Coturnix japonica: one gene and its partner. The protein of the gene in region 2 interacts with the protein of the main gene of each other region in a pairwise test. Links are inferred from orthologs where the notes say so. Each region holds a gene or a part of one and is shown on either strand. Other genes may lie near its edges. The genes, in order: DPH3 and SERGEF.

Evidence for each region.
Region 1: the proteins of SERGEF (region 2) and DPH3 interact in binary tests that used the Homo sapiens proteins (3 or more experiments, as listed by UniProt). The link is inferred for Coturnix japonica from reciprocal best matches to the Homo sapiens genes SERGEF and DPH3.

Annotation. Positions count from the first base shown.
Region 1 is NC_029517.1:31,392,988-31,404,807, reverse strand, and holds DPH3 (DPH3 homolog), read left to right. Parts: upstream 1-4,679; 5' UTR 4,680-4,700; coding exon 4,701-4,808; intron 4,809-4,908; coding exon 4,909-4,983; intron 4,984-5,878; coding exon 5,879-5,944; 3' UTR 5,945-7,600; downstream 7,601-11,820. Other genes in the region: OXNAD1 (oxidoreductase NAD-binding domain-containing protein 1), read right to left, coding at 895-958, 1,224-1,354.
Region 2 is NC_029520.1:16,910,449-16,922,601, forward strand, and holds the start of SERGEF (secretion-regulating guanine nucleotide exchange factor), read left to right. Parts: upstream 1-5,969; 5' UTR 5,970-6,044; coding exon 6,045-6,068; intron 6,069-7,132; coding exon 7,133-7,271; intron 7,272-7,910; coding exon 7,911-8,066; intron 8,067-8,336; coding exon 8,337-8,431; intron 8,432-9,338; coding exon 9,339-9,399; intron 9,400-9,707; coding exon 9,708-9,821; intron 9,822-10,122; coding exon 10,123-10,179; intron 10,180-12,153. Other genes in the region: TPH1 (tryptophan 5-hydroxylase 1), read left to right, coding at 51-118, 1,606-1,802, 2,314-2,449, 2,914-3,040, 3,921-4,016, 4,227-4,360, 4,662-4,836. UniProt on the Homo sapiens protein: Probable guanine nucleotide exchange factor (GEF), which may be involved in the secretion process.

The DNA of each region.
Region 1 (11,820 bases), on a different chromosome or scaffold from region 2:
GGGGAAAAAGTAACAAAGAATAAATCAAGCATTTAAAAAAAGAAACAACCCTCTGACATGCGGAGAATTTCTCACAGAACTGAATCATAGAACGGCTTGGGTTGGAAGGGATCCCAAAGATCATCAAGATCCAGCCCCCCTGCCACAGGCAGACACCAGCCTCCAGACTCAGTACTAGACTAGGGCCCCATCCAACCTGGTCTTGAACACCTCCAGGGATGGAGCATCCACAGCCTCTCTGGGCAGTCTGTGCCAGCACCTCACCACTGTCTCTGTGAAGAACTTCCCCCGACATCCACTGAGCCCAGTTCTTCCTCCTAACTCATACAGCTTCCTTCAGACCCCAGGCCTTATGCAGCTGTCTGTACCAGCTCAGAGCTCTCATCACCTTTCCATTTATTTTCAAGCTGTCCCCCATTTTTCTAAGCAGAAAAAGTAAGCAAGCCAAGCCATTAGAATTAGATGAAAACATGGTTGCAAAACTGCAAGGCTTTTGTCCGTGTCAGAAGCAAAAATGGGCATCTGCACCTGTTGCTACACAGTCACTCTGTCCATGCACTGAGCTAATGCAGCGTCAGACCCACGTGAAAGGCTGCTGGCCCCTACCCAAGGAAGTGCTAATGCCAGACATGAGCTCTGTAACATGAGCTCTCAAAGCACAGCTCTGAGACAAATGGTTTCCAAAGCAGCTTTGCTGACCGGCACGATCTTACTACATCTCCTCTACTGACCACAAAATCCACCACTTTTACAACAGTATCAAATACAAAAAACGAGGGGGAAAAATGTGAAAGAGACTCCATCTGAAGAGAAAATAAAGCCTATGAATCAAATACAATTACTCAATTTCTTCACCAAAAAGAAAACTTACACCCTAAAGAACAGAACACTGACCTCCTGGCGGAAATTATTTGCTGTTCTCTCCAGGTGATCCATTTTCCTTTTTGATTGTATTGTGCTGCAACAAGAAGCAAACGAATCGTCATCTTGACGGCTGTGCTACTGTGTCTTATTGGTATGGATTTCTATTGATCCAATCATTTGTCAGTGTAACCCAGCGTACATTCCAGCCGGCACAGTTCTGAATCAGAGTTATATGCAACAATATAATTTGGAGGTTACGGAGTATTTACAGGCCTGTAATAATTTGTCATTTGTTATTTCAAAGTGTTTTCATGACATTCTCTTCAAAAACTAGAAGTGTTAGTAGATGGTTGACTTACCCATTCGCTGTACAGTAACAAGAAGCGCAGTGCCTCAACACCACCAGCGCAGATTGAGCAGGACAAAGTCTGCAGGCACTTCTCAGTAAGTGAGGGATAGTACAGCCCATGTAAGTGGTAACACGAGCCATGATAACCAGGCTGTCTTTAGAATCACCAGCTCCTGCAAAATCCATATAAATACTTATTAAATAAAATACCCACTGTCTGACGTGGCTTGTGCTTATATAAAAGTCAGCAAGACAGCTGGCTAATAACCAAGTTTACCCTGAATCTGAAGGCTGATATTGTTTATTAACTTCACTAATAACTTGGATGATTGTGACAGAATGTACCATCAGCAAGATTAGGATACTTCACTTTACCAAATAGTGTTATTGTGCTCTTTGTATCTGCTGTCATTTGCATGGAAATTAATAGAATCAAAGAACTGTTTAAAGGTCCCTTCCATCCAGACTGTCACAAAGTCCCAGGGACCAGAAGGGATTCACCCAAGGGTGCTGATGGAGCTGGTAAAGGTGATTGCCAAGATGCTTTCCACAATCTATCAGCATTCCTGGTCAACTGGAGAGGTCTCAGAGGTCTGGAAGCTTGACAGTGTGATTCCCATCTACAAGAAGGGTTGTAAGGAGGATCTGGAGAACTACAGGCCTGTCAGCCTGACCTCAGTGCCAGGGAAGGTTATGGAACAGATCATCTTGAGTGAGATCACATGGCATGTGCAGGACAACTGGGAGATCAGGCCCAGCCAGCATGGGTTCATGAAAGGCAGGTCCTGCTTGACCAACCTGATCTCCTTCTATGATCAAGTGATCCACCTGGTGGATGATGGAAAGGCTACTCAGATTTCAGCAAAGCCTTTGATGCAGTATTCTCCTGGAGAAGCTGGCAGCTCGTGCCTTGGACAGGTACATCATTTGCTGGGTAAAGAAATGAGTGGAGGGCTGGGCTGGGCCCAGAGTGCTGGTGAATGGAGTTAAATCCAGCTGGCAACCAGTCATGAACAGCGCTCCCTATGGATCAGTATAAAGAGCCTATCCTGTTTAATATCTTTATTGATGACCTGGACAAGGGTACTGAGTGCACCATCAGTAAGTTCGCAGATGACACTAAGCTGGGAGGAAGCATCGATCTGCCTGGGGATAGGAAGGTCTCACAGAGGGATCTGGACAGGCTGAGGCCAGTGGGATGAAGTGAAACAGCACCAAGCACCAGGTCCAGAAGTTTGGCCACAACAATGTCAGGCAATGCTACAGGCCTGGGGCAGAGCAGCTGGAAGACTGTATGGAAGAAACAGACCCAGGGGTGTTGGCTGATGTTTGGCTGAACGTGAGCCAGCAGTGTGCCCAGGTGGCAAAGGAGGCCAGTGGCATCCTGGCTTGTATCAGAAATAGCATTGCCAGCAGGAGCAGGGAGGTGATCATCCTTGTGTACTCAGTACTGATGAGGCCACACCTTAAGTAGAGTGTTCAGTTTTGGGCCACTCACTACAAGAAAGATATTGAGGCCCTGGAGTGTGTCCAGAGAAGGGCAATAAAGCTGTGAGAAGTCTGGAGTGCAGCTCTTATGGAGAGTGGCTGAGGGACCTGGGACTGTTCAGTCTGCATGAGGCACAGGGGAGACCTCGTCACTCTCTATAACTGTGTGAAAAGAGTTGTGGTGAAGTAGGGGTCAGCTTCTCCTCCTGCATAACTGTTAACATGGAGTAGAGGGAATAGCCTGAAGTTTCCCCAGGGGAGATTTAGGTTAGATATTAGGACAAAGTTCTCTGAAAGTGGGGTTAGGCACTGGAACAGGCTGCCCAGGGACATGGCTGAGTGTTCAAGACATATTTAGATGTACTAAGGGACATGGTTTAGTGGGGAAAATATTGGTGGTAGGTGGACGTTTGGACTGGATGATTTTGGAGATCTTTTCCAACATCTGTGATTCACGATTAAAGGTCATCCAGATCCACTCTCCTCCCATGAACAGCAATACCTACAGCTGGATGAGGTTGCTTCCCATCCAGCCTGACCTTAAATGTCTCCAGGGATGGGGATTCTACCACCAATCTGGGCAATCTATTCCAGTACTCCACCACCCTTATCATAAAAGATTTCTTCCTCGTATTCAACCTGAATCTCCCCTCTCCTTTAGTTTGAAACAATTTCCCCTTGTCCTATCACAACAAACCCTGCTAAAGAGTCTCCACTTCTTATTGCCCCCTTCAGATACTGAAAGGCCACTCTCAGGTTTCCCCAGAGCCAATGAGCCCCAGCTCTCCCAGTCTGTCCTCACAGGAGAGGTGTTCCATCCCTTGGATCATTTTTGTGGCTCTCCTCTGGACAGGCTCCAACAAGTCCACATCTCTCCTATACCGAGGTCTCCACATCTGGATGCAGTACTCCAGGTGAGGTCTCTCCAGCTCAGAGCAGAAGAGGGGCAGGATCACCTCCCTCACCCTGCTGTTTTTGATGCAGCCAAAGATATGATTGGCTTTCTGGCCTGCAAGGGCACATTGCTGGCTCATGACCAGCCTGCCAAGTCCTTTTTGGCAGGGTTGTACTCTATCCTTACATCACCCAGCTTGTACTGATGTGGGGGTCGCCATGACCGAGGCGCAAGACCTTGCACTTGCATTTACTGAACCCTCATGAGGTTTGTCTGGGCTCCTGCTTAAGCCTGTCTAAGACTCTCTGGATGACACCCCAGCCCTCAGGCATGTCAACCCACACCACACATCCACAAAGACACACACAGGGAGGCATTACTTTCAGAGCAACCTACTATCAATTTTCAGCCAAAAGTACCTTTCATTTACCAAGCTTAGGAAGATGTTTATAGTAAGCCAAAAGGTATTTCTTAGTGCTTGTAAATCCGCCTTCGTTTCTCCTATAAGCACGTTGCTTGCTTCAAAAACCCTTTCTGCAATTAATTGCTACCAACCACAGTGACATCTGCTGGTAAATATGCGGCCCAACTTTGAAATGCAATACAAAGGTACATCAGTTTTATGTTCTTGGTTCACCAAGGGTTCTCCAAACCCTCCCTTTCTTCCATCGATCTGAGAGCAATGAGCGCTTCTTCTGTGCCTTGTCCCCGCATTACAGCTGGTTCTCCTTACCCTGCGAGCCACAGGCCCTGTGTTAACGCATCACATCGACCGCTGCGGCCTCTTCTTCCCTCAGTCCTACCGCATCTGAAGGGAGACACGGACTGTGAGCGGACCCGAGCCAGGCTGAGAGCAACGAGGGGGTACAACCCACCCACACCCCAAAGGCGAAGCGCTTTCCCTCCGATCCACACACACCACAGGCCCCCATCCCCGCCGCCTCCCGTTAGGCCGTGCCCCCATCGGACACCGGCCATAGGGGGCACCGCCGCCATGCCGCCCCACAGCCCGTACCGGCACCGCCTCACGTCACCCACAGCGCCGCCGTCGCGCGGAAGTTCGTCCCCTCTCCTTCCGTTTCGTCCCCGTTGCATGCCGGAGTCATGGCGGTGTTCCACGATGAGGTGGAGATCGAAGACTTCGAGTACGACGAGGAGACGGAAACGTACAGCTACCCGTGTCCCTGCGGGGACCGCTTCCTCATCACGCGGGTAACGGCGGGGGGCGGGGAGGGGGAGGCGGCCTTAGGGAGTGTGGGCCCGTGTGTGACCGTGTCCCGGTCCGTGACCGTGTCCCGTGGGGCTGTTGCAGGAGGACCTGGAGAACGGGGAGGACGTGGCCACCTGCCCCAGCTGCTCCCTCATCCTGCGAGTCATCTACGACCAGGTGAGTGCGGGCTCCTCATTCCTGAGGAAGGTGCCGTGGTTGTTTATAAAGGTCTCATAGAAAAACGGGATGTGGCTGGTGGGCAGCCGGTGGCCTTTCCTTTTGTCTCCTATCCTAATTGTTTTCCTGGTCCCCCGCGTCTCCTGTTGTGCCTTTGGAACGTGCTGGAATGAAATGCAGGCAAAACAGTCCCCGTGACTCCAGCAGTGGTCATCTGGCCAAATATCTTTTGTTAATTACAGGGCATGCTGTACATTGCATCTGCAGTGCTCTGTGCAGGCCTGGGGCTCCCAGCACGCAAAAGACATGGGTGTGGAGGAGGGCCATAAGGATGATGGAGGGCTAAAGCACCTCACTGTGATGACGGGCTGTGGGAGCTGGGCCTGCTCAGCCTGGAGAAGAGAAGGCTGGGGGGAGGCCTTATTGTGGTCATAAAGTACCTAAAGGAAGCTTATTTCAAAACAAAATAAAACAACCTTCCTGTTTACACAGTCTGATAGCGATAGGATCAGGGGGACTGGCTTTAAAATATAGGAGAGGAGATCTGGGTTAGATGTTAAGGAGAATTTTATCATTCATGGGCTGGTGGGGCAGTGCTACAGGCTGCCCAGAGGAGCTGTGGGTGCCCCATCTGTGAAGGTGACATGGCCAGGTTGGGTTGTGCCCTGGGAAGCCTGATCTTAGTGGTTGGCATCTCTGCCCAAAGCAGGGGGTTGGAACTGGGGGGGCTTCTAAGGTCCTTTCCAACTGAAGCCATACTTTGATCTTTGGGGAGAAAATTTTGTGCCAGTTACACCCAGACTAGAAAACAAAATGGTTATTTGATGCATTCCTGAGGAAGAGGAGATCCGAGACAAAAATAAAAGCCAACTAAAACTCTGCTTGCTGTCTCTAGGAGCAGTTCATGCGCGATGAAGTCATTGCAGAACCTTTGGCAAGCAAAGAACTGGTAAAGTGCTGATGAATCCATCATGAACTGTTGCTGCTTTAACATAAGCAAGTGTGGGAATGACAATTTTGGGAAGAGACGTTGCGCCGCCTGGAAGTTCTTGCTGCTGTGAGAGACACGTGCAATAATTGTCTGTCTTAATAACTTGAAATTTTTGGGGGCATCAGCATGAATGAGTTGTTTGTTTGTTTGTTTGTTTCCAATAGAGCTGAGCATTTAATTCGTATTAGCTGGGATACGTACTCTAGAAGACCAGGACTACGATCCTAATTTGACTTAATATGCAGAAGATGCGTATAGTGTTGCTCTACACTGAAATTAGAACAGTTACCCGGCAGTTGTCTCTTAGACTATACGGACAAGTTCAGTATATTTAGTGTGGGTGGATACCAGCATGAAATAGCACAGAGAGCTGAAATGTTGGGGGACGAATGTAGAAGTCAGTAGGACTCCATGGTTCTGTAGGACGCTGTAAAGAACTGAAGTTTTGATGCAACTTACCATCTCCTTGGTTTGGTGCCCTCATAGTTCCAGCATATACCGAGTAGGGGGAGATAATGAGATCCAGAACCTGTGCTGCTGGTACATCGTTTCACTCCTGTGAGTGGAAGGAAAGTGCAGTTGGATTCATAACCGTACTGGGTTGCAGCAGAAGCAGCTTTGGTAGCTGTATCAAAGGGCTGTCTGACACAATGGTTTGTATTTGTGTGCACTGTGTGAAAATGAACAGAAAGCAACAATTTTTGCCCCTGTACAGTTAGTAATAGATGAATGAAATTGAACTCAAAGTGGATTCTTCTTTGCCCATATTTTCTCAATCACATTATCACAGAATTGTAGGGGTTTAAGGGACGTCTAGAGATCATCGAGTCCAACCCCCAGTCACGTTGTGGTTTGATTCTTGCAGCAAATATAAAACAGGCTGTATTTGTCTGTTCTGTTTCTGGATTTGTAAGTCTTGTTTTGTTGGGTTCTGTCATTTCCTGGCAGACTGTTCACTTTATTCAATAATGAAAAGGAACGTTTTTAGGACAGAAGAAAGTTGCAAGAATGTGCTCCAAAGTACCTTGGTTCCAAGACTTCTTGAATCACAGCCCACTGCACTTAAATACTTATTTTAAATGGTGATAATTTGTGTGTTTTAGTAGGATGTGACATCCGGGAAGTTTAGGGGAAAATATTTGTGCAGCATTTATATCATCTTTTCACTCCAGGCACAAGAGATGAGCAGGTCTTACTGATGTCTCGGATTTGGTTATTTTTGTATTTGCAACATTCTGTGAATGTGGGAAACAAACCTAATTACTGCTTAAAACAAAAGCAGGCAGGAGCTGACACCCTGCAACAGGAAGTTTTGAAGGCAACATGCACAACCCGCGTTGTTTCTGTACGTAACCACCAGGTGTCGCTCCTGGGACTTAAATGTCTGTGCTCCACAAAGTGCTGGGGAAATTTGGTTAGCTATAAATATTTATTTTGACTTATGCTTAAATAAAAATGTTTGAAGCTACACCAGTGATTATAATGGGCTGTTACTTCCTCTGCTTGTGCACCAGTCACAATGATTTCTGAAGGTGCTGAGTTTCTGCTGCGGTTGTAATGCCAAAATCTTTCCAGGCTGGCTGAAAATAAGTGGTTTTTAGTCTATCAATAAATGCAGGAACCCCATTTAAGCTGCCATTCGAACTACAGCTGCTTTGTTTTCCAGAGGTTTTCCAGGTAAAACCGTGTTAAAGTTAAAAAGGAACACTAGGGGATGTGTACTCAGAAGTATCGGCTGTATTTGATTTGGTGTGTCCTAATACAAGCTCTGAAATTATTTTCTGTAGCATTCACCATTGCTCTAAAATACAGATCAGAGCTTTTCTGACTATAGGAAAATTGTTACGTCAGTTCAGGACTGTCAGTGCTTAAGGTTTTGTGATGAGCGTATTATACACAAGTTGTATGATGCTGTTTCTGTATGTGTTACTGTTGTTTTATGTAGTGTGTATCAGTGCTTTATTGGGGTTTTCATTTTATTTCCTTCTTCAGAGCTTTTTAGTAGCATAACAGTAAAATGTGGCTTACTTTGTTAGGAAAGGATGCATCCATGTTTGCCCACAGCAATTGCACTCAGTTTGGTATTACTGCAGTATCTTACGGGTTGTTGGGGAATAATCACTGTCCCTTTGTAATACAAAGGAAAGATAAATCAAAAACCAAGCAAGGATGGATGAGATCTGTCTCTTCTGTAGCCTGAGATAGATGTTTAAAAACTGTTGAGCTGCTGTTGTTTGCAGTTACGCAGAGGGATGGAGTTCTACTGCAATGGAGTTCATCCTTCTGAAAGCTCCGTGATGCTAAAGAGCTGCCTGTTTTTGTTCTCTGGGAGCTGGTGAGTAGCTTTGGACCCCAGTGATGGCACACAGCTATTCCATGCTGTGTAATGCCACAAGGCGAGGCAGGGCAATCTGAGTAACACATCAGAAATGTTCTTTACTAAGGAATTCAGTCACAAGGTTTCTTCATAGCACCACAGGCCCTCGCACAGTGTGTAGGCCCCTTGTTTGTTACTTGTGTATTACATATTCTCAGAACCAATGGGTCACTTGTCTTCCAAAAAGGCAGTTATGTAGGACACAAAGAAGTCTTTTGTTTGTTTGTATCTGACAAGCAGATGGATTGATTAGCTAAAAGGTCCTGTAGTTCTGAGTCATTGTGCCTGTTTATCAGGCATACATGATTCGTTTTGAATAGGTGCTTTGGAAGCCCATGACTGAGACCCTGGACCTCTAACAGCCGAGGTCTGTAGGTCACCAACTTCAGCTCTTGCACTTGCTCCATTTGCCTGTATGTTAGGGAGGTTGTAATGACCTAAAGGTCAGTATGCAAATGCCTCGTCACTTCTTCCTGTCATCATAAATATTTAATTTGGATTCTCAGCACCATTCAAGAACTGACCTCCTTTGCAGAGCACCATGTTAATAATGATGAGCGTATAGGCTGTCTGGTCTATCTACCAAGAAGCAGATACTGGTCCATTTTAAATGAGCCTTCAACATACAAATTAAGAAAGTAAGGTGATAACTCTGTAATGCCACTAAGAAAAACAGCTTAAATAAACCCCATTTCCATCCTTCCTTAATTTCAGTTTAAAGTTCAGACCAACCTTTGCTGCAGGGTTGAGTATTTGCTACACTGAAAGTGTAATGAAATGTTACTACAGATAGGATTTAGGAAGATAGTAACAGCACAGTAAAACAAATGTATGCCTTTATTTGCTTTGCATGCAGTTCTTCGTGGGTTGCTTTCTCTTTATGCTTAGTTAGACTGAAGCTTTGATTCTGCTTTGTGGTAACTTAAGATGCTGCTTTCTTCATGTCTCTCTGTGGCAGTCATGGCATAGAGGAGACATGAAGGTCAGGGAGGATGCAAAGGGTCCTGTGTAACCCTAAGGATGCTGGCTTCTCAGCCTTGGAACTGCTCAAACCTTTTGAGTGACGGAGGTAACAACTAAGAGAAGCTGTGCCCAGCTGCTGGGCAGCTGCTTTCACGGTGTAACCTGCTGTCATGCAGGAAGTGGGTCAAAAGGGACTCACCAGGAGGGTAAAAGCTCAGGTGACCTGTCATCACCCCTTACCATCCCTGTTTCCATCTGTTTGCCTATCAGGTCACCTCTTCAGAATTCTTGGCAGCTCCCCAGCCCAGTGTGAGCTTCCTCCCATGTCATGGAAAATCATTGCCGTGCCATTGACTGGGCACAGTCAGCTGAGGGGATTGCCCTGAAGGTGCTGGATGGTGTGTGAAGGTCAGCTGCCCATCCACCAGTGCCATTATGCACCCTGAAAGGCAGTGATTGTAACCACTGTTAACAAATGTTGCTGTTTAAAACCCTGCTAGTATCTTGCATCTGATTTCTTCCTTCAAGTGAAAGAGCAGTTTAATTTGGATTCACAGAGCGCTAATTCATTCATGAGTGTTTACCCTACATATATACAGTTAACTCAGCATCTTTGTGCTCGCATCTATATTTTCAGTTGTGGTTTCATTAACACAGTGTAACTTTCAGTCTTCACCCTGCTCTGGTGTCACCACAATGATGGATGCTGGTGTGCATCCCTTTGCCTGGAAATGAGAATCTGACTCTTCGTTTAGATAGGAAAACAGTCTGGAGGCAAAGGTACAGACAAAACACCCATTGGTTTCCCACCAAGTTGGGAGGGAGTGTTGATCTTCCTGAGGGGAGAAGGGCACTGCAGAGGGACCTGGATAGATGGGATTGGTGAGCCAAGGTTAACAGCATGAGTTTCAATAGGGCAAAGTTTCCAGTCCTGCATTTTGGTTACAACAACCCCAGGCAACCCTACAGGCTTGGGGAGGTGTGGCTGGAAAGCTGCCTGATGGAAAGGGACCTTGGGGTCCGGATGGACAGTTGGCTGAATATGAGCCAGCAGTGTGCCCAGGTGGACAAAAAGGCCAATGGCATCCTGGCTTGTATCAGGAATGGTGTGGTGAGCAGGACTAGGGAAGTCATCCTGCCCCTGTACGCAGCATTGGTGAGACCTCAAGTACTGTGTTCAGTTTGGGGCACCTCAGTACAGAAAGGGCATTGCGGTGCTGGAGCAGGTCCAAAGAAGGGCAACAAGTCTTTTGAAGGGCTTGGAGAATATGCCCTGTGAGGAGTGACTGGAGGAACTGGGGCTGTTTAGTCTAGAAAAAGGAGGCTGAGGGGAGACTTTGTTGCTCTCTTCCAGTATCTGAAAGGTACTTAGGTGAGAGCAGGTTTGGTTTCTTTTCACTGAGGACAGGTGACAGGATGAGGGGAAATGGCCTCAAGTTGCGCCAGAGTAAGTTTAGGTTGGATATCAGGAAAAACTTCTTTACAGAAAGGGTTGTCAAGAACTGGAATGGGCTCTGCAGTGAGGTGGTTGAGTCACCGTCCCTGGATGTTTTTAAAAAACATTTGGATGTGGTGCTCAGGGACATGATTTAGCAGAGGGTTGTTAGTTAGGGTAGTATGGTTAGGTCATGGTTGGACCTGATGACCTTTAAGGTCTTTTCCTGCCTGAGCAATTCTATGACTCTATGATTCTGTGATCAGCAGGAGTCAGAGGAAGGGTCTGCTTAGCCCAGTATCCCATCCCCAGTGCTGCTCCCCTTCCATTTGGTAACATTTCCCCAGGATGCCCTACCATGCTTGTTTTAAGTCGTGGACTTCTTGAGATTGATGCGCTTAATAGTTAATAGCATAAATAAATATATATTTCCATGAGTTATCTTAATCATTTCTTAAATCTGTGTCACAATTTATTATCCACTGCATCCCATGGAAAGAAATTACCCAGTTAGGGACACTTTTTGAAGAGGACCATCTCTTTTCATTTCTTTTTAACCCGTTGCTCACTGGTTCATTTGAAGATATTTATTTCCCCATAGTCATTTATGCTTTGACCCTGTAAGTTCTTTGTCTATTCAGCCACGCTCCACACAGGAGCTGTTCCATGCCCTGTTGTCCTTCTCAGAGCATTGCCCAGCTCTCCCACATTTTTGAGAGGAAAGGAGGTAAGTGAATCGTGTGTACACTGGCATGATGCTATTTGTTCTCTGCTCTGTTCTCTGCTTTCCAAAAGTACTTAATGTCAGACACGCTTTTTGGACACTTCCTGAGCAATAGGCTGATGTCTTCAAAATAATGTTTAATTAAAGCAAAAACCTTTTAGAATCCATGCTCAGAGAAACCCTGATTTTCTCTTATGTACTCTTGTTGATGGGCCAGGCATGTTTTAGAAGAAGGCAGGCTGCCCTGAGTCAAGTGTCATCAGCTCACACCTGAGGCGTATTTCTGCTGCAGTTTCCTGGTGGTGGCTGATGAAGGTGTGCAAATTCCATTTGTTTTGGTGGAACTG
Region 2 (12,153 bases):
AGCTGGAAAAGCCATTTAACTTGTTTTTTCTTTCCTCCTTCTCTCCCCAGGGTTTCAAAGACAATGTCTATCGTAAGAGGCGAAAGTATTTTGCAGACCTGGCTATGAACTACAAACAGTAAGTTCAACTTCTTTCAGAAAAAGCCATCTGGGTGCTTTGGAATAGCAACAGAGTGGACTGGTTCACGTTCCCTGGTCTCAGATCTCACTTGTCTCAGGAATCAGAGCTAGAAGGATAAAGTGAAGGGAGATTTAATGCAAGACTTACAGGTTGATCTAGGTAATGCAAGATTAAAAGGTAGATCTAGGCCACCTTACAGCTTCCTGGGTCTCTGGTCAGTCTGAGGATCAGCTCACAGCTGCATAGATGTTGTGGTATCTGTGGCAGCACTGATCCTCAAACAGGCAGCAATGTCAGCATAGGCTTCCTGCAGTGGGATGTGTTCAGGCACTGGGTTCTCTCCCCTGTTCTCTGGAAATGGGTGCAGCAAAGCAAGGGGGTGGGCAGCACATCTGCACAGCTGTCTGCCCAGGACATGCATACTCTGTCAGGGTTGATCTCTTTTGCAAAGGAAGGAGGGGAGGAAAAGTCACTAGACAGCCCATAGACCACTGAGAATAAATTCTCTGGGCAGGCGTTAATACTTGAGTTTTATTTCCTGGTTTAAAATAGAGCATGTGATGCGTAGATAAGAATTCTATGAAATAGAATTCAAAGAGCTTCTGTCTTTAGAGATTCTGCTTGGGGGAGGGAGCTCTTAAAGCTCATAGCCCAGTGCTAAAGTTTTTTTGTTGTTTTTTTTTCTGAACATGTTTCTTGCATTACTGTTGCTTGTGTGAATATTGACACCAAATTCTTCGACTGGGAACGACCTGGAAGTGGCAGATATGTAGAGCTTCGTGGCACTCAGTGTTCATGCAGCTGGCCACCACAGCATGCGGGCAGTTACTGTGGATGTGTTGTTAATAGAGCTTTCCTTGGGAAAGCAGCAGTTACCTGGCTGGCAGTGGAAGCAATGAATGATGCTCCAGTTGCTTTCAGTAGCCTTTAAATCTGAGTCTTGCTCTAATCCACATACATCAAGATCCGAAGGGTTGATTAGCAGAGATGGACTACAGTCAGTATGTTTGGACAGGCCCTCGTCTCCTCTGCACAGAAGCATGGTTTTTACCTAACATGCATGTTTAGTTGCTTCCACTTATTGTGCTGCTAATTTAGGAGATTATCTTTTCCTAAAATAAAGAAGGTAATGGAAAATTATTGTACACAGACAGAGATATTAAAGGGAAGAAGATGCATTCCCAGCTCCTAAAACAAAATATTTTGCAGTTACTGTTTATAAGCACTTAGGAAACTATTTATATGATTGAAGCTTTCAGGCCCCCTGTGAGATCAATGCAAGGATTGCTATCTGTTGAGTGTGCAAGCCTAAAAGTTCTCCAGGGCATAGACCAGATCTCACTTGTGTACTTGACAGTGTAATGAAGTCTTAAGCTTGACCAGGTGTCCCAGCCATATGAATGTTAAACAATAATAGTAAGTAAATGAGTCATCCTTATAAGCCATTTACCAGGGAATGTTCCTTTGTCCTCATCTCCTTGTAGTGGTGACCCAATTCCCAAGATTGAATTCACAGAGGAGGAGATCAAGACTTGGGGGACTGTGTACCGAGAGCTTAACAAGCTTTACCCAACTCATGCCTGCAGAGAGTACCTTAAAAACTTGCCCTTGCTCACCAAATACTGTGGCTACAGGGAAGACAACATCCCCCAGCTGGAAGACGTGTCCCGCTTCCTGAAAGGTAGGGTATTCATTTTCTCTCACATGAAAAAGAACTGAAGTCCATTGCAATTCACACTTTTACTATGTGGGCACAAAAGAAAAATGATAGATTCTTGGTTTTGGCTGGGAAACTTAAAAGCAAAATGTTTGCTTCTATTAATTCTGGTCATTTAAGAGGCCTTTTGGCCATCTGGATTTCAGCATATTATGTCCTGAATATATGCAGTGATGGTTTGGGGGGCCATGCTAACTCTAAAGAGACTTAGGACTGGTTCAAGTGATACCTAACTGTATTCTGTTGGTTGTAGGCATGAAATCTTAAGAAATCCACCTACGCAGATGTAGGGACACTTCTACTGAATGTTGGCCATTCTCAAGATTAGGCCTAAATTTTCTAGTCATGCCTAATTTTTTCATGTGCTCTTAAGCCAAAGTAGTGTTGTGGTACTTACCCCATTTGTAGCAGAGATGGGAACATTATGGACTTCTACTTTAAACTAACATATATTTTTTTTCCACTCCTTTTGTAGAGCGCACAGGTTTCACCATTCGCCCAGTTGCTGGGTATCTGTCACCCAGAGACTTCTTGGCAGGATTAGCATTCAGAGTTTTTCACTGCACTCAGTATGTTAGACACAGCTCGGACCCTCTCTACACACCAGAGCCGTGAGTAGAATGAGACTCATGTTTCTGAGTATTACTGCCCAAGCCAAGCTACTTAAAAGCTGTTCATGAAGACCAGCAAGAAAACATACTTTCAAAGGTGCTGAAGACTTCAGTCTTCACACTGAATGTAGTGATGTTTTAGCATGCTCAAGTGCCACCTTCATAAGCACGAGGTTTTCAAAAGTAGAGCATGTTATTGGAGGACTCTTGCAGTTGTCATTGTGGGCAGAGTTTAAAGTTCAGTTGGCTTATAAACATGAAGCTGTGCTCTTAATATTAGATACCTTCATTTGAAAACCAGAGCAACCGTACTTTTGTAGAAGTGTGTTTTCAGCTAAACCTGATTTGATACTCCTCTGTATTTTGGATATTGTTTAGCTAATGAACACAAGACACTGTTTAGTGGTGCTACTTTTTCTCTCCACCACAAAGAAAGATGAGATTTTTTTCCCCCTCTTTTCCAGCGATACCTGCCATGAGCTCCTAGGCCATGTCCCTCTTTTGGCTGAACCCAGTTTTGCTCAGTTCTCCCAGGAAATTGGTCTTGCATCACTTGGGGCATCAGATGAGGCTGTCCAAAAACTGGCAACGGTGAGTGTTTCAGTACCCAGTGATCCCACTTAAAGCTTAGTGCTTCATTCAGCTGATCCCATTCTAATTAATTCGGAGATTAATTTCAACATTAACTGCACCAGCTGCTAGGCCTGTTTCACTGACTCTTAGCTTTAGAACATATAACAAGTTTCCATGCTGGGAAAAAGATACATTTTAAGAAAGATGTGACAGGTCTTACTTCACTTAGGTCAAGTAAGTATGCAACTTAAAGGGGTAGATCACTTCTTCCAGCTTGAAATTCTGTAGTCTTTTTGCTCCAGAAAATATCTTTCTACTTCTGAGAATATAGATTACATGTAAAAACACTGAACTATTACTTCAATAATATTCAACGCTGAACTACAGTTATGAAAGAGCTGCCAGTCATAGCTAGTGGTAAAGCTGCTACCTTTAGTGAGAGCAGAAGTAAACCATCTAAGAAAATACCATTCCTTGCCACATACCTGCAGGAATCCTGAAAATCAGAAAACTAAACATCTTTAATTTTTAGACCACTAAGGAACAACCTGTGTTGGATTGATGTTTTCACTTGTTGAGACCCTGTCTATCCAGTGTTTCTTTTTTGCTGTATCTCTCACGTCATTGCAGTGCTTCTCAAAACAGAATAAATTTCCACATTTCTACTGGTTTCTGCCCCAGCTGGGTGAGCTATGTTATCTGATTTTCTTATTAGAAACACTTAATCCTGTGGTTCTTCACACTTCTATTTAGGTTCCTGTCTCTTTAGATATCTGAGAATGATAATGAAGTAATGACTTGCAACTTCTTGGTACTTGGCAAGTAGAAGTGCCCCCATCTAGTTCACCACAAAACCTTTGCTGAAGACTGATTTATTTTACTCCCTTCTCTGTTTCAGTGCTACTTTTTCACAGTAGAGTTTGGCCTGTGCAAGCAGGAGGGACAGCTAAGAGTTTATGGGGCTGGTTTGCTCTCTTCTATTAGTGAGCTCAAGGTAAGAATATCCACTGCTTATCCTTCAGAGATACTCAGTTTTGTTATGCTTAAACCATTGTTCAGCTGCAGACGTGTTTTAAGAAGCAACGCACTATGATCTCACCTCATCTTTTTTTTTTATTCGCTGTTTAATCCATCTCATCTTCCTCATGGATTCTTTTTGGTGGTGATATTCCTCTGGCACGTGATAACACATGATGGTACTTAGCACTCACTCTCTGGCAGCGCCAAAGTCAAGCCTTTCGATCCAAAGGTCACCTGCAAGCAAGAATGTCTCATTACAACCTTCCAGGAGGTTTACTTTGTTTCTGAAAGTTTTGAAGAAGCAAAGGAAAAGATGAGGTACGTTTCTGTTTTTGTTTTTCATTCCCTGTTCTATAGATGCATTCTTGACTTCCTAGAGGCAGCACCAGTTCCTTTCATTCTTATAATAATTTTATAATAGCCTTTCATGAGGCTGGAAAGCTGAGTTTAATATTTACTTGGTCTCCCATGTACTGGATGGGAGAGATGATGAACTTTGTAGTAATTACAATGATCACTAAGAAAGTAAGCGGTTTAGAAAAGTCATTACTGATACTGACTGTACACGGAGGATATGTTTGTCTTCTGGTTAAACTTCCTCTCTTTTTTTCTTTAATAGAGAGTTTGCAAAAACCATCAAACGTCCATTTGGTGTGAAGTACAATCCATATACTCAAAGCGTGCAGATCCTGAAAGACACCAAGAGCATTGCCAGCGTGGTGAACGAGCTCCGTCATGAGCTGGACATTGTCAGCGATGCCCTCAGCAAGATGGGCAAGCAGCTGGAAGTTTAACGTTCCCATCATCTGTGTTGTGTGCTCAGCAACTCTTTTCTTTTCCCCACTTGTCTCTTTCTAGGCATGTAACGTCTTGTATGCAGAACTTTCCTTTACTAATGGAAGAGTGGATAGCCCATAAAGATAATCACCTTAACTCACTTTAACTTATTTTTCTGTTTAAAGTCCCCTACAGAATGTATTTCCTTCACCTCCATTCCCTGAGGATAAACAAGTCCTGGAGCTGCCTTAGAGAAGTGAGCAAAGAAATAGAGAAATCACTAGGCTGGAGCAAAACTGTGGTCAGGGCTCGGATCAGATGCTTCAGCGAGTGGCTTATGAGGCAGCTGTAGAATAATTTGGCACAGGGAAATGTCTTTCTGATGCTAGTGGTCTGTGCTGCTAATTTCACAATAGTGTAGACTTCATAGCATAGAAGCTATAGGACTATAGTAATCGGTGCTTCTGAGTCTGTGCTATTATAGAAATATTTAATGTTTAAGTATTTAGGTTTAGAACTCAAATGATTACACCCCCGGGTACCAGGACACAAATATATGAAGTTAATTTATGTGTGTTGAGGGTGTAATAAATGGAAGATTTCTGAAGCGTAGGGTATATTTAATAGCACCCTGCTTCTCTGTATGTGGTTCTTACCAGAGAATCCAGTTGCAAAGGTGCATTTTTACACTATTAACCACACATACCTTCTGTTTCCACCCCTCCTGGCTGGGTAGAGCATTCATTATATGCATGTTTATACTGTCGTGAAGGCTTTAAGTGTCAATGAAATAAACCTGTACCGTCCTGCTGGTAATTGGTAGAAGCAGGTAAACCTTTCCTTCGTCACTTCAGCAATAAACACAGCCCACTCCGACTGAGCTTGTGTGTTCTATACTGCGGTGCGGGCTTTCTGCACCCGCGGCTTCATTCCCTCGCGAACTGCACGTGTTTCTGCGAGCAGCGATTAGTTTTCTCCCTTATAAAGGCTCCGTCGCCTTTCCGCAGGTGTTAGTGCTCAGCCGGCCGTGCATTCTGGGTGCGGGCAGGTTGCTTTGTGAGCATCACTCGGCCAGACCGGCACCGCGCCGCTCCACGTGCAGCAGCACGACTCCGTGCACCGTCGCTCCGCCCGCCTCTAGGCGGCCGCTCCCGCTGATGTAGGGCCCTCCCCGGCCCGCCTCTTCCTCCTCGGCCGCGGACGGGTCGGGAGGGGCACGAGCCGCATGGAGGCGGAGCTGCGAGCGTGGGTAGGTGGGCGCGTGGGCTGCGCGGGGACATGGCCCGCCTTGCGGCCGAGAGATGGCGAAGGAATGAGGGCGGGGGTGGGCGCTGCGAGGCTCCTCCGGCTGCGCTGCGCTCTGCTGGCCAGCACGGCCCTCGGACGGGCTGCAGAGCCGAGTCTTCTGTGAGCGGTGGGAAACGTGAGCGACGGGCTGTGACAGCCGGTGCCCGGGTGTCTCGCCGCCCTCTTGTTGGCTGCTTCGGAGGGGGGAGCTGCGGGCGGCCGCTGCTGTTCGGAGCCTTGTCCTGAAGGCGTGCGGTCTGCACGTGTCGGACCTTGTGAAGAGCGTTAGGTGCCTGCCACGCCAGCCCGTGCTCCTGCGTGAGGTCCGAGCTGCCGAGCAAAAACCCTTCGAGGAACTCGGGGCAGCAGGTGAGGTGGGTTAGCTCCCACGGGGCGGCCTCCAGCTGCGGCAGTGCGGGGTGCTGCTTGGCTGTGGTCATCTCGGAGACCATCAAGTGGCTGAGAAGCTCCCCGGTGCGTTCCTGCCGTGCTGCGTGTGTAAAAGCAGGCAGGTACCTTCGTGTTTTGCCCTCTGTAAGGTAGAAGAATTAGTTAATGATGGGTAAGTGCTTCTGCTTTGTTGCTTTAGGTTCCAGAACGACACAGCTTGTCGTTCTCACCTTATTTTGGTGCGTTCTGCTGGAAGGCATTAGCATGAGTAACACTGTTAGTGTTAAACAGGTGGCCCTCGTTGTTGGTAAGGAGGCATTCAGCCCTGCCAGGTGTTAGCCTGTATTTAGTCTTAACGAGCACGTTCCTGTGTGGAATGAAGATGCTGGGGCTGCATGTTTGGCCTTAGTGGCAGCAGCTCTGGCATGGCCCTGCTCTGTAGTTCTGGGCGCCATGTAACGGCTGTAAGAGTGAAGGTTGAAGGTTGCCCTTTGGGGGATTTCTGGGAGCAGATTGTGTCAGGTTAACCCGTGCCATGTCCCTGGTGAAGCTGCTGGCTTGTAGGGGGAGAGCTATGCACATCTCTTCTCATTAACTTCCTTTTTTAATGTGTTATTTGTCTGTGTGCATTTGAAGGGTGCAAACAGCTACGGGCAGCTTGGCCTTGGTCATAAAGAGGATGTGCTGGTACCTCAGTCACTGGAAGATGTTTCCTGCAAATGTCAAGACATCAAGAGCATCACCGGAGGAGGGGGACATTCTGCCCTTATCACTGGTAAAAACATTGCTCTTGCAAGGGCTGTGTGACTTGAGCTGCTACAAGTCTTTCCTTTCTGGTGCAGTGCTGCCACCTATGTGTAGCTTCTGTGTATGAGCAAGTATCGATTCTTAGTTGTAAAGCGTATTCCCCCGTCCCTATCAACCTGATATTTTGGAGAAATTCCTTTGCTCATCTTCTGTGGCTGTTTAATTACTTTGTGAGGATAATTTCTAAACCCATATGACATAATCGCTTTTAATACAAAACTGTTGCTCCTCCTCTGTTGAGGATGAGGAGGGAAGTAGTCAAATGGAATGTTATTCAATCTGGAGAAGTTTTAAGGTAAGGAGCAGAAAATAGCATCTGGTCTTCAAAAGGTTCTGCTATACACCATAGTTAATTATGGGAATAAAGGGATACGGGCAAGTGTGAATGGTGTGAAATCCTTCTGAAAACAGGTTCTTGTTTTGCTATGTGAGCCGATGCTTTTTTTATGACAGCCGTGCTTTCTCAAACATGTTTCTGGTGCATCAGAAATAGCTGTCTCTGTGCAGTTCAGTTTGTTAAATGACACATAATCACTGTCTTGTCACAGAATCTCATTGCATATGTGCTTCTTTGTGAACTGAGTGTGATTTTATTTAATTATTCCAGGTGCTGGAGAGCTCTTTGTATGTGGCTGTAACAAAGAGGGACAGTTGGGTTTGAATCACACGGAAGATGTGCTGCGTTTTACCCTGTGCACTGCCCTGTCTGGCTTCTGTGTGCAAGAAGTGGCCTGTGGTTGGGATTTTACAATCATACTAGGAGGTGAGTCTGTCTTTGCAGGAGTTGGGGGAATATGGGGATGTGGAGAACACGCTGAGAGTTCTCATTGCTGTTGCGTTCCTTGTGAGTTTCAGACCTTAATTGAACATTATGTGTAAAATCAGAAGGCTGTGGCTTTGGAGACCTGAAAAGGGGAGATGTTAGGCCTTTATTTTTCCAATTATTTCACTATGTTTTTGCCTGATGTAATTTTACAATACTTGGCTTTTGCTCAGAGATGCAGTGATCACTCTCTAATGCTTTCATTTGCAGGAGCTGGCCTTGTTCTGTCCTGTGGGTCTAACGCTTTTGGGCAACTAGGAGTTCCTCAAATTTCAGGTCCATGCTCGATTCCACAAAAGATCGAGGTAAAGATCTAGAAGGAACTGCTCTATAGCTCTGTGCATTGCGTTGCTTACAGCAATGAGAAGGGTCTGGTGATCTCAGTGAGCTTTGAAGGCTGGCTCTTCAACTTTTTTAAAGGAGTCCATCTGATGAAGTAAATTTACAGAGTAGACAACCAGTGATGGTCCTTGACCCAGAAAGGAGATGCACCACTGTAGGTAGGGAGCTCTGAATGCAGCCTCAAACTGTTTGCTTTCAAATGCTTTAAGTAGTGAGAACTGAGACTTCCATACCAAAAAAAGCTTCTTTAGTGTTGGCTGTAAGCCTAACAGTGTAAATAAATTTCTCAGGGGAATTCTAATTAATCCCTAATTTACGCTGTAGCTTCTTATTTGAAGAAAGCTTTTACAACCTGATAAACTCTCCCATGTGATGCAAATGATAAGGTGAGAGCTGAAAGGACCCCTAGGCAGGAATTGTAGCCTCGTGGTCTGTGCCATCCACTGCTCTGTTGTGTTTTTTTGTGGCAGCCTGGGTAATGTAGGGAAGGAGGCACAGCTGGTGGTCCTCTAGCAAGTAGGGGTTACCTCAGCTGATGCTCCTTGGAAACGTCAAGGGTATGGAACGTCATTCCAGTGCGGTGCCTTGAAAACAGTGGCAGTGACAGCGAGGACCATTCATTCATCTGAAATATTTTCTCTTTTGCTTTGTGTCCTGTTCAGTGCTTGGATGGAAGGGAAGCATGGCTGACAAAAATTAGAAGGAAGGTCTTCTAAAAATAAACAATAATATGTTGGTGTGCATTATAACATGCAGGCTGGAATTGGGAGCTGTTTTCCCCGTGTCCCACAAATGTGTTCAGTATACTCTGCTTTAAGAGGCAAAAATATGAAAAGCATTTTCTCTTTTTTTTCCCCTCTATTTGAGCAGTCCCTCAAAGAGAAAGTAGTGAGTATTGCTGCAGGACTGAGACATGCCCTTGCTGCTACAGGTGAATATGTTATCTTTGTTTTCTCATTTCTGGAACAAATGAAGAGTACTTTTAATGCCTGGTGTTTTAATGGCTTAGTTGGGGAGCAAAGAAAATAAGGGTGAATTTTAGCTTCTATTTGCACTTGTGCAATGAGACTATAGTTGTTGCCTAGAAGGATAACCCTGGTAAAGTCTGGTTTTGGCACAAAGAGCATGCAAAGCACAATTTGAACCAGTGAATGTGCCTTTAAAACTAATTAATTATTCACTTAAGTTATTTTATTGGTGGTTATTGTGTTTTAATCTCTGTGTGTTCACTCTGGGAAGAGAGTGGTTTGGTGTTTCAGTGGGGAACTGGCATGGCATCTCGGGCAAAGCGTGCGCACCAGGGGAAAACTCTCCCTCTGTTCTGGACTGCAAAGGAACCCTGTGAAATAAAAGGTAATTCTGGAGTCTGACTTTGTCAAGGCGATAGAGCTGAAATATGTTTTGCAGTGATATGTAATGTTTCTGTTTATAAAGCTGCTTGGTATCATAAATATGGAGCATCTGAAATAATGAGTGTACAAGTTCATAATCCACAGGGAAAAATGATACTGAGTCTTTTAGCATCTGTGACCTGGAAGAGGTTTTCATTATAAAATTCACTGTTATCAAACAATCATACCTTGGTATAACTGTTACATGTCTGTGCACAAAATGACATCTTCTGTACAATTTTATGAGACTAAATTTTCCCTAGGCCTGGAAGATGTGAAGAGAGTTGCTGCAGGCTCCTACCATTGTGTGTCTCTTACAGGTAGGCCTTAGGTGCAGGCATAGAAGTCCTTGTCTCAACTTACAAGGGGGTTGTGTGCTTTGGAAGTGCCTGTCAGCTTTGGCTTGATTAGTGTGTTGTGGCATAGTGCCGGTTAGCCATTCTGTAGTGGTTTTGCATCCTGGGACTTCCATCTTAAGATCTGGTTTCACTTGTTAAATTTTCAGAGTTCTATGTATTTTATTAATGGGGTCAGGTATGACACAGCCCTTAGAAATAAGCAAGGGTCTGGGCTCTTAGTGGTTAGAAACTCTGCAGGGATTTATGAAAGCACTTGTTTGCATAGTTCTCTGCAACAGCGGTGCTGCGTCAGGTGACTGGATACATGGGCCCTGGCCTGAGTGCAACCCTTTGCCAATGGGAAGGAATGTTAGGGGGCTATGTTGTGAAAGGCTGCTGTGACTGTCCTCCTGCAGCTCAGAAGGTCAGATGGGCTTTGCGTGGGCACGAGGTCTTTGTTGGCTCTGCAGTAACAGCATGCACATACATCTGTGTGAGGTGGTGTAAGAGCTCCAAGTGTAATAAAAGCAGTGGGGAAATGGCTTTGTCTCTTAAGCACTTGCATAATTTGGGCCATTTGTGCTTTAGGCAGCGCTCCTGTATTGGGTGTTATGTATCTGGTAGTGCAAAGTGTAAGAGAAGTTATTTGTTTTTATTTTTACTTTTATTTCTTGGCAGACAAAGAAATGGGGAAAGAGAATAGCTTTTCATCTGTAAACTTATGGTTCTGGAATGTGGGAAGTATATTGAACCGTATGAAAACAAATCTTTACCAAACTTCGGAAGGAGTTCTTAGCAAACATGCAGCCATCTGGTACCTCTGCCATCATCAAATGGAGCGCTGCAGAGCTCGCTTATGCAGAGAGACGGAGTTGTACGGGGAAACATTAGATGTGAATTACATTGAGTTCTGAGATGAGAAGTCTGTATGTGATTAGTGAGGAACTGGCAGGACAAATAGAATCTGCCTTAGCTAATTAGCACTTTGTGTGTTTAAAGTGAGCAAATCATTGTTTCATGCTTTTTCTTTCTTTCTTTTTTTTTTTTTTGAGAGCAATCTATTTGGCAACAGGGCAACCACATCTAACACAGTAGGTGTCAAAGCTTGTAATGATGTGCTGGTATTGCTGCCCTTCCTCCTGCTTTAGCTTCTAAGGATGCTTATTTAAGTGCCTGTCAGGTGTAGTATTTAGTAAGTGAGCATCACTGGGGTTTTTTTTCTAGGGATTTCTTGCTGAGCAATGCAGTTTTCTTGAGCTCTGTCCCACAGGCCACCTGCTGGTGGGACACCAAACACCAGTCACTGGGAGGCTTTTGGTACAAGGGGTTGAAGTGTATTGTTGCAAACATTTTTTCTTCTTTAAAATCAATTAATAAAGGGGGCAGAGGGAGCTGAACAAAACTTTGTGCTACAGATTTCAGTTTCCAAACTTCCTTGGCCTGTGATCTTGTACTTTGTGTGTGCAGGACTTCTCTTGCTTGTGCAGAATGAGCTGACTTCAGGAGCCCTGACACAGCTCATGTTCTGCTTGTTATGGGTTATGTTTTTTAACACAGAGATCTAGAATTTGAGCTGAATCATCTTGTGTTGAAAAGATCGGGTTAATGATAAGTAGTGTCTGCAGAAGGACTCATCTGAACACTTACCTCGTTACTGTCAATTGGTCGTTAGGCTGCGAGCAACTCCAACTCATATTGGAGAACCACATGAAGCAAATGCATGTTTCTGTAAATATAATTATCCCTGTGGGTGGAATCCTGGAGTGTGTACTTGCACAAATGCTTCTTCTGCAAAGGGAGTGGGGGAAGACAAGTAATTACTTACAGAAGTCTCTCAGTAGTTGTGTAGTGGTGCTTTCAGATATGATAATATTTTGGCTTTGTTTTGTGATGGGTAGTACCTGCTTTACGCACCTGGTCTTGGCTGTGTGTCATGTTCCTTTAGGAAGTGACTGA